Linked DNA regions of Schizosaccharomyces pombe. Each later gene encodes a partner of the first gene's protein in a complex. Each region holds a gene or a part of one and is shown on either strand. Other genes may lie near its edges.

Region 1 (3,757 bases):
GTTTTACCACAATATTCTGACTAAGCTTGAAACCGTTTTACGATCTCTTGGCTAGTGGCAATGAGCTATATCGGTTTTCTACTAATCGAGTTCTAATTTTTTTACCGTAATACCCTAAAGTGTGTTAAAAGCAATGTTCATGAAAAAAATCACGTTGGAAGCATCGAAAATCAGATATTTCCAAATGAATTAAACGGCACTTAATTTTCCTTCGCTTCATTTTTACTATTCCAACAAATACATTACTTTACACTTAGCTTCTAATTTACCGAGAAACAGTTCATAAGATTAAAAAATAAAGAAACCGAAAATATAAAACCGATTTAAAGATCTTAGATTTGCACATGTAATTGAGTATTATACATGTAACCTTTTTAATGAACTTTCTACATCCGTCCTTTTTAAGCAGTAGAAGAAGCTTCAAGGGAGGGTCCAGCAGCTTCTTCAAAAGTGTTGGGTGGAACAGAGTACAAGCGTAAAATAGGTCTGTTGGGATCCTTTACAAGGACATATTTTCCATCAGGCATTTTCAAACAGACATCTGCAATAGTACGAACAATACCCCAACCATTAGACAAACTTAAGTTCATTTGGGAAGCCAAATCAGCAGGCTTATAAGCTACAACACCCAAAATGCCGTGGTGCTGAGCGTCACGGGCATTTGAACGACTGACAAAACCAACCTTCATGCTATCAACACCAGCCAATAAAGCTTCGACAGTCCAACGGGCAAGCTTGCAACTATTGTTCTTCATTTCAGTGGCAAACACAGCACCTCTTTGACTTTCGAGCTTGGAACGCCAATCCACAGAACCAGTAACATTTGTAAATTTGGGATCGTACTCATTAAGAGCCTTGATAGAAATGTATTGAACATCGTTCGCAGGATTTTTAACATAACCGTCAACTTCGGTACGAACCATTAGCTTAACAGGCTTTTCGTCTGTCTCGAGAGAAAGATCAACATCCCGATAGATATAACCGTGAGCAGCCAATGGCTCACTTTCTTCCTTAGAATTATAGAAGGGATTGGGATGAGGTAATTTATATTTCTCTTCTTCGGTTTCACGTAAAGCTTGGACGCAGAAGTTTTGGTTAATGTACGTAGCTTCGACAGAAAGGGCTCCAGGAGAATTAACACCTTCGCGGTTGTCAGCGTCCATGGGAGAATCGTATGCGTTTTCATTGACAGTGAGATAATCAAAAGGTCCGCCTTCACGTTTGTCAAAGAATAGCTTTCCACTTTGGTGAGTAATTACAATATCCCAGGGATACACTGAGCGAGTTGAACACATCAATAAAGACAAAATGGAATCCGTAATGAAAATGTTAGCATCACTATTAAGAGCGAGTTTTTGGATAACGGGGTCTTCAGTAGTGGTAGGGTTGTAATGAACACGGTCCAAGGCTTGTAATGGTTTTTCTGATTTAACATGAATCTTGTCAAAAGATTTGTCATAAGGATAAATATAACCATATGAATCCACAGTAACAGGAGCAGCAGCAGCTAAATTGAGCTTAGATAAATGGCTGAACTCAACCTCGTCAAGAAGCTGCCAGTCGTCACCAACAGTAACACTGGCGTTGCGAAGACGTTGATGTTTATCATAATCCTTCCAACCAAACCGACGACCTCTTGCTCCTCCAGCGCCTGAGGATCTAGAAACCACTGTATCACCTGCACCTCTTCCACCAGAAGAACCGTAGCGACCGCCACGACCACCTCGTTGAACGTTTTGTCCTCTACCGCGAACCTTCAATAAAGTGCCGCCGTTGCGAGCGGAAGTGCGTGTACGATTGACAGAACCACGATCGATCACCGAGAAACTGGATTCGTCCTCCGAATGCTGATAACCAAAAATGGACGACGCGCCATAACCATAAGTTTGATATTGGTCACGGAAACGACCAGCAAATGCTCCTTGACGTCCACGTTGTTCACGTCCATCTTTAGGTTGATCAACAGACCAATCTGCAATTTTTCCAAGACGGTCACCTTTACTAAAAGGAGCATAAGGAATATCACCTCCTATCTGTTCCGTTTCAGGAGGTCCCCATGCTGATTTTACGGGTGCTAACTCAGGCAATTTAAATCCAGTTGCCATTTGGGAGTGGTGAAGTTTTCTTCGAAGTGGACGCCAGTATAGTGTGCAAACGAACTGGGAGACGCTAAAACACCAAAGCCAACAATGGTAATATTTGAAGTTCTAAAGCTTTATTTGTAATACAAAAGTACTTAAATGTAATATATATACTTTTTGGTTCGTGAAAAAGTTAAATGTTATACATTTCCTTTTGCAATCAAGGTGCTATATTTGTAGAAAAACTACATCTATTAACAATTAGTATATGTTACTGTATTTATCAAACTACTTCTTTATTTGTGAACCCACATGCCTATTCAGAAGACGATATGTGGAAATCTCAACCACTCACTACATTATAAAACTATAGTAGGTAGAATTACTTTATCATACTAGCAGGTTATATCAGCACTAAATGTTATTAAATTAAAAAATGGGAGAAATTGATATTGAAATAAAAGATATGTTATGCTATAATTTAAAACTGATTACGACATCAGACTTTGCCTTTATAGTCATTGTCTCAAGGCTTAAATGTTTCTGACAAAAGCATGTTTTAGAAAATTTTAATTTCGTCAACGCTGTCTTTTGAAGAAAGAAAAAAATGAACGCCAAGGTTCTCAGACATTCTCTCTTTTCTGTCATCACATGTCGCATAAAAAATATACACATCTAATCCTATTAAAACAATTGTTTGCGAAGAAATTAATGTATAAAAACGGAAAGCACCAAATATTAAGCAGTGTTAAATGACCGCAAAAGCTGCTAAGTAGCAAAGGAGAGAGTTTAGTGCATCACATGATAAAGGATCGCATTGACAGCCTAGCACACGCAAGGAAAAAGAATGATAAAGTATGAATTTAAAATATTAATAATAATGATGGAAATATGTGAGGTCTCTATTAAAGAAACGGAACTAACTTCCTCCAACCCCGTTTTCTTTGCGCTAATCCCTTATAATGATTTATTTCATCTAGGCAGTCCCTTCCATAATTACAGCCTGCCAAGTTTACCAAGAAGTCTCCTTCTTTTTGGTTATAAAAGAAACGAGGATTTTCACCTTCACCAGCACAAGCACCTGGAGGATATGAATTGAAAAGGCGAAGAGGAACGAATCCCATGCCGCTTCGAAGCCAAGCATTATTCTCGTAGAAGTACTCAATTGCATTTTGCTCATCGTGAGGCCAATCCATGTGCTTTTGCCCATAGACTACTGGATCCCAAAGGAAGTCCATCAATCTGCTAGTCCAATCACTTCGACGAACCAGAAAAGAACCCAAACTGAAACCGTTGCAATCTTGCCCTAAAATAAAGTTGATATCTTCACTATAGTCAACAAATGGAATTTCGTGGAAATTTTTTGGATTGAACTCCATGCTATCAGTAATATTCCTGGTCGCAATATGGTCAAGTCTGTTAATAATAAGCTTTTCAAGAGAATATTGAGGTTCCATGATGAATGTTGTTAAATCGACCCACCAAAACCATTCAGCATGAGGGTATTTCTTCATGGCTTCCATGATATAATCTGCTTTTTCCCAAGATTCACGCCATTCATGAGCATATCGTCTCTTTAAGCCTGTGCTCTTCACAAAGAAATGATATCCGTGCCTTTCAGCGTATTTCTTCTTGTTCTCCGTTGAAATCTTCTCCAGCTCCCATTGTCTGGGACT
Region 2 (3,757 bases), on another chromosome or scaffold:
CATTTTCTACATGTTGAGATAGCGGCATTAATACTTTTGCATTAATTATTTATTTTTTATGCACTTCAGAAAATAAAAAAATTTTAGATAATATATATTTTTTTAATATCCCCGCATGTTTCAAATTTCCAAAATTAATATACTAATAGCGATATTCAATGAGCACGTTTCTTTAAATAGGAAAGTACACAGTCATCTTCTACAATAACGAGTTGTTTGAAAATACAAAATTAGCGAATTAATTAAACTCCTATGTTTTATTTTTAATGTATGAAATATATTCCACCTTTAAACTATTTGCTAATCTTGTCTAAACAGTAGCATGCTTTAACTCCGAAATGCTTTTAGCAAGAGATTGCTCCAAGTTTTGACTTTCAAAACTTAATGACTTTGTACGGTCTATAATCTGTTGGAAAGCTGAATAAGTAGGGTGTTCAATTATTATTGATTCACCGTCCAACTTAGCTTTAAACCCAAATTGTACCTCGGGTTCGGGCTCTTCGGCTTCAGTAGCAGTTTCGGCTTCCGTGATTAAATCATCAGCAACAACATTTGTAGAGGTAGATTCAATACTTTCATCTTCAGTACTTTGATCGGCAGCTACATTAGAAGCTGCGGCAACTGAAGGATTATTACGGTTTTCAACAAGTTGTATTAATTGAGCACTGTCCATTTCCAGCTTGTTAGCAAGCACATCAACACTTATGACACTGTGAATACGGCAATATGCCTCAGCAAGTAATTTGCGAGCACCTTCCAAAAAGTGATCGCACAAAGATACGAGAAAAAAGTCGGTTTTCAAAACCTCTTCACATTCTCTGAGGCAATGCTGAGCTTTTTCAAAGTCGACCTCAGTATACAAAGCAGAAATAAAAGAGGTCACAGGATCGCTGTATTCATAGTTTTCTTGGCTAATGATGCGTACGAGATCTCGCATCCTTCTTTGATAAGATTGCCTAGGGTTACGAGGTTTTTGATTTGCATTATTTTGGTTAGTAACAACAGCGACAGTCAAATATCTTAATAGCCAGGGACAAGAGGTTTGGATGGTGTTGAGATAAGGAGTATAGAAGAACAAATCACAAAGAGTATCACAACCATTTGCATGATTAAACAAAGGAAACAAGGACCAGTGGAGGAGCCAAGTTCGATTTCTCAATTGAACAGCAGAATCTTTAAAGCTTTTGGAGTCCACCATTTCGCGAAGTTTTCCCAATTCCTCCATAGCCCCATCCCAATCAACAGTCAAAATTTCAGAAGCAAATTTACCCCAGGTCGCGGAGGCGTTTAATTCAGGGTCTTTACTGAAGGCACGAAAATGATAAAGTAAATCTGATGCACCACCGTAGTTTCCACAATTATATTGAAATTGAGCAAACTTGTAAAGAACAGCTATACGTTCAGGGGTAATGTTGTAATGTTCTTGTAGGTGTTGTAAATTTTGACCTTTATCTTGACGAAGAGCTGCAATCAAGTCAGGATTTTCTAAGACACCTAAAATTCCTTGAACCTCTTCTTCAAGTTCAGAGAGCTCTTGCAAAACACTGCGTCGCTTTTCAGCAAAAGCATTTGCCATGTCCTCGTCGGTATGACCCCCATGAAGATTAGTCCACAAGTTGGCCACATAATCAGTCATATTGGTATCTTTAAGCAAATCATACTTAGCTTGTAAAAGCTCCTTTGGATCATGAGTCTGTCTTAAAGATAAAAATTCCAATAGAGGAAAAATGAGATGGCGGTCAAGGTGTTGCATAATTTTTTGCGACAAATCATACTTGACCGCTATAAAGGTTAGAAAACATTCTCCTGTATTTAAAAATAAATCTAAATTAGCTTACCTAAAGGGCTTGTACTCTTAAGCTCGGATCCCATATCTGATATGTTTCACGCAAAAAAAAAGTGCGTGGTGTGGGGAGGATAGCACAACTCACCCAAAACTCTAGTAGTAGCCCCCTTAGACTACAGTACTGAAAAGCAATATGACAATAGTAGGTCAGCAATGTTCGTACAAAAAATATTAAATTCCTTAATGATATTTTTGCTTTTTTTAACCAATAGTTTTTCATAAAACTAATTAAGCTCGAACTTACTACCAGCTAATGTAAATCAATGTGTAAGACAAATTTTTATCCGATTCTTGATCTTTACTTAAATTGTAATTATTGTCAAATACTGGTTTCTAATATTTTTTTAACTTTCGATATAAATAGCACTTCTTATACGAATAATACATAAATGCTACTTAATAAAATGTAAATGCTTACTAAGAGATAAGTTTTACACGTCCATCCATCAAAATGATAAGCTCGATATCAATCGATTTAGTAATATTACAGTATTTACGCCCATAATCTATAGCAAATTTTTCAATTACAAGTTGTTCTAAATATGCAAGAGCAATATGGTCCCCGTTATATCCTAATAAAAATAACGTCTCAATGGCTCTTCTTTTTCTTCTTACTTTTCTTGACTTCTTCTGATGCATCATCGGCAGAACGCTTTTTCTTAGACTTCTCCTTTTTCTTCTCCTTCTTGTCTTTCTTTTCTTTCTTGCTCGGCTTTTCTGAAATGGTTTCAACAGTCTCTTCAACGTCAATGTCAACCTCCTCGTCTCCGTCTATGTTAACACTCGATAATGCCTTTTCATAAGCTTCTGCCATTGCAATACTATTGCGAGTAGGGGCGACACCGGTATCGAAAAAGTTGAGACGTTCCTCGACTTGTCGACGAAGAACTTGACCAAATGCCGTAGTTGGGGCATCGCTAAAGTTATCAATACGGCTAGCAATAGAACATTTGTTAGCCAAGAAACGAGAGATGCGGCCTTTGTTTTTAGCGCCAGCTTTTCCAATAAAACTAGAATGGTAAATAATACCGTATTTAGGCGTGTTTCCACGGGTTTTCAGAGCACGGAACAAAGCCTTTTCAGCACCTAGAATCTGTACCGTAGAAGCCGGGCATTTTGACAAGTTAGTTAGACTTCCGGCATGAGAAATCAAACGAGCACCAACCATCTCACCAATTAATTCAGCAAGATTGGGAGCAACAACATTCATCTTCTGAACCAAATAGTTATGTAGCTGTTTACGATAATTACTAAGTTTAATAACACGTTCAGCAAAAGATAGAATATTCTCGAGGTCAATTTCAGAGATATCTTGTCCCATAGACACTTTACCAGCGTTGATTATACTTTGAGCAATATCTTTGTCATCGTCTACAACGGCTGCCAGATCATGAAGCATTTCGTCGTTAATGGTGGTTTTATCACCAACCAGTGTAACAATAACAGCGTATTTGTAATTGTCTCCAACGATCTTCGAAAGCTCAGGGAAATGCCAAGAATACCACTCTTTCATGCGCATAGCGAAAGTATTAATGTCCTTGTCAAGTTGATCAAGGATAGCAATAGCTTGGATAATCATGTTGTCATTTCTGTTAACATTGAACTTCACTTTTGCGCGAGAGTATGAATGTCCTAAACCAAGCTGAGCCCTTTCGAAATCACCGGGTGATAGTTGCTTGAGAAGTTTATCACCATGAAAACGAATACCACGGAGAAGATCCTGGGTAAGCTCAGAAGTGTCACATTCAATGGCATCAATTTCGGATTTAATAGACGTTGCTAAATTTTTGTCTTGGACTCCCAGAGACACCTTTTTCTTCTTTGAGGCTTTCGGCAAATTGAGTTCCAAAAAGTTTTTCAAAAAATCATTCAAAACGCCTTCAGAAATGTCGTTGGCATTTTCCAAAGCAT

Evidence for each region.
Region 2: moe1 (region 1) and int6 share a complex: the UniProt entries of both Schizosaccharomyces pombe proteins name them as parts of the eukaryotic translation initiation factor 3 (eIF-3) complex.

Annotation. Positions count from the first base shown.
Region 1 is NC_003424.3:4,550,199-4,553,955, reverse strand, and holds moe1 (translation initiation factor eIF3d), read right to left. Parts: upstream 2,117-3,757; 5' UTR 2,106-2,116; coding exon 402-2,105; 3' UTR 215-401; downstream 1-214. Other genes in the region: gmh5 (alpha-1,2-galactosyltransferase), read right to left, coding at 2,987-3,757. UniProt on the Schizosaccharomyces pombe protein: mRNA cap-binding component of the eukaryotic translation initiation factor 3 (eIF-3) complex, which is involved in protein synthesis of a specialized repertoire of mRNAs and, together with other initiation factors, stimulates binding of mRNA and methionyl-tRNAi to the 40S ribosome.
Region 2 is NC_003423.3:938,390-942,146, forward strand, and holds int6 (translation initiation factor), read right to left. Parts: upstream 1,920-3,757; 5' UTR 1,873-1,919; coding exon 1,839-1,872; intron 1,783-1,838; coding exon 311-1,782; 3' UTR 232-310; downstream 1-231. Other genes in the region: U3 snoRNP protein Nop56, read right to left, coding at 2,436-3,757. UniProt on the Schizosaccharomyces pombe protein: Component of the eukaryotic translation initiation factor 3 (eIF-3) complex, which is involved in protein synthesis of a specialized repertoire of mRNAs and, together with other initiation factors, stimulates binding of mRNA and methionyl-tRNAi to the 40S ribosome.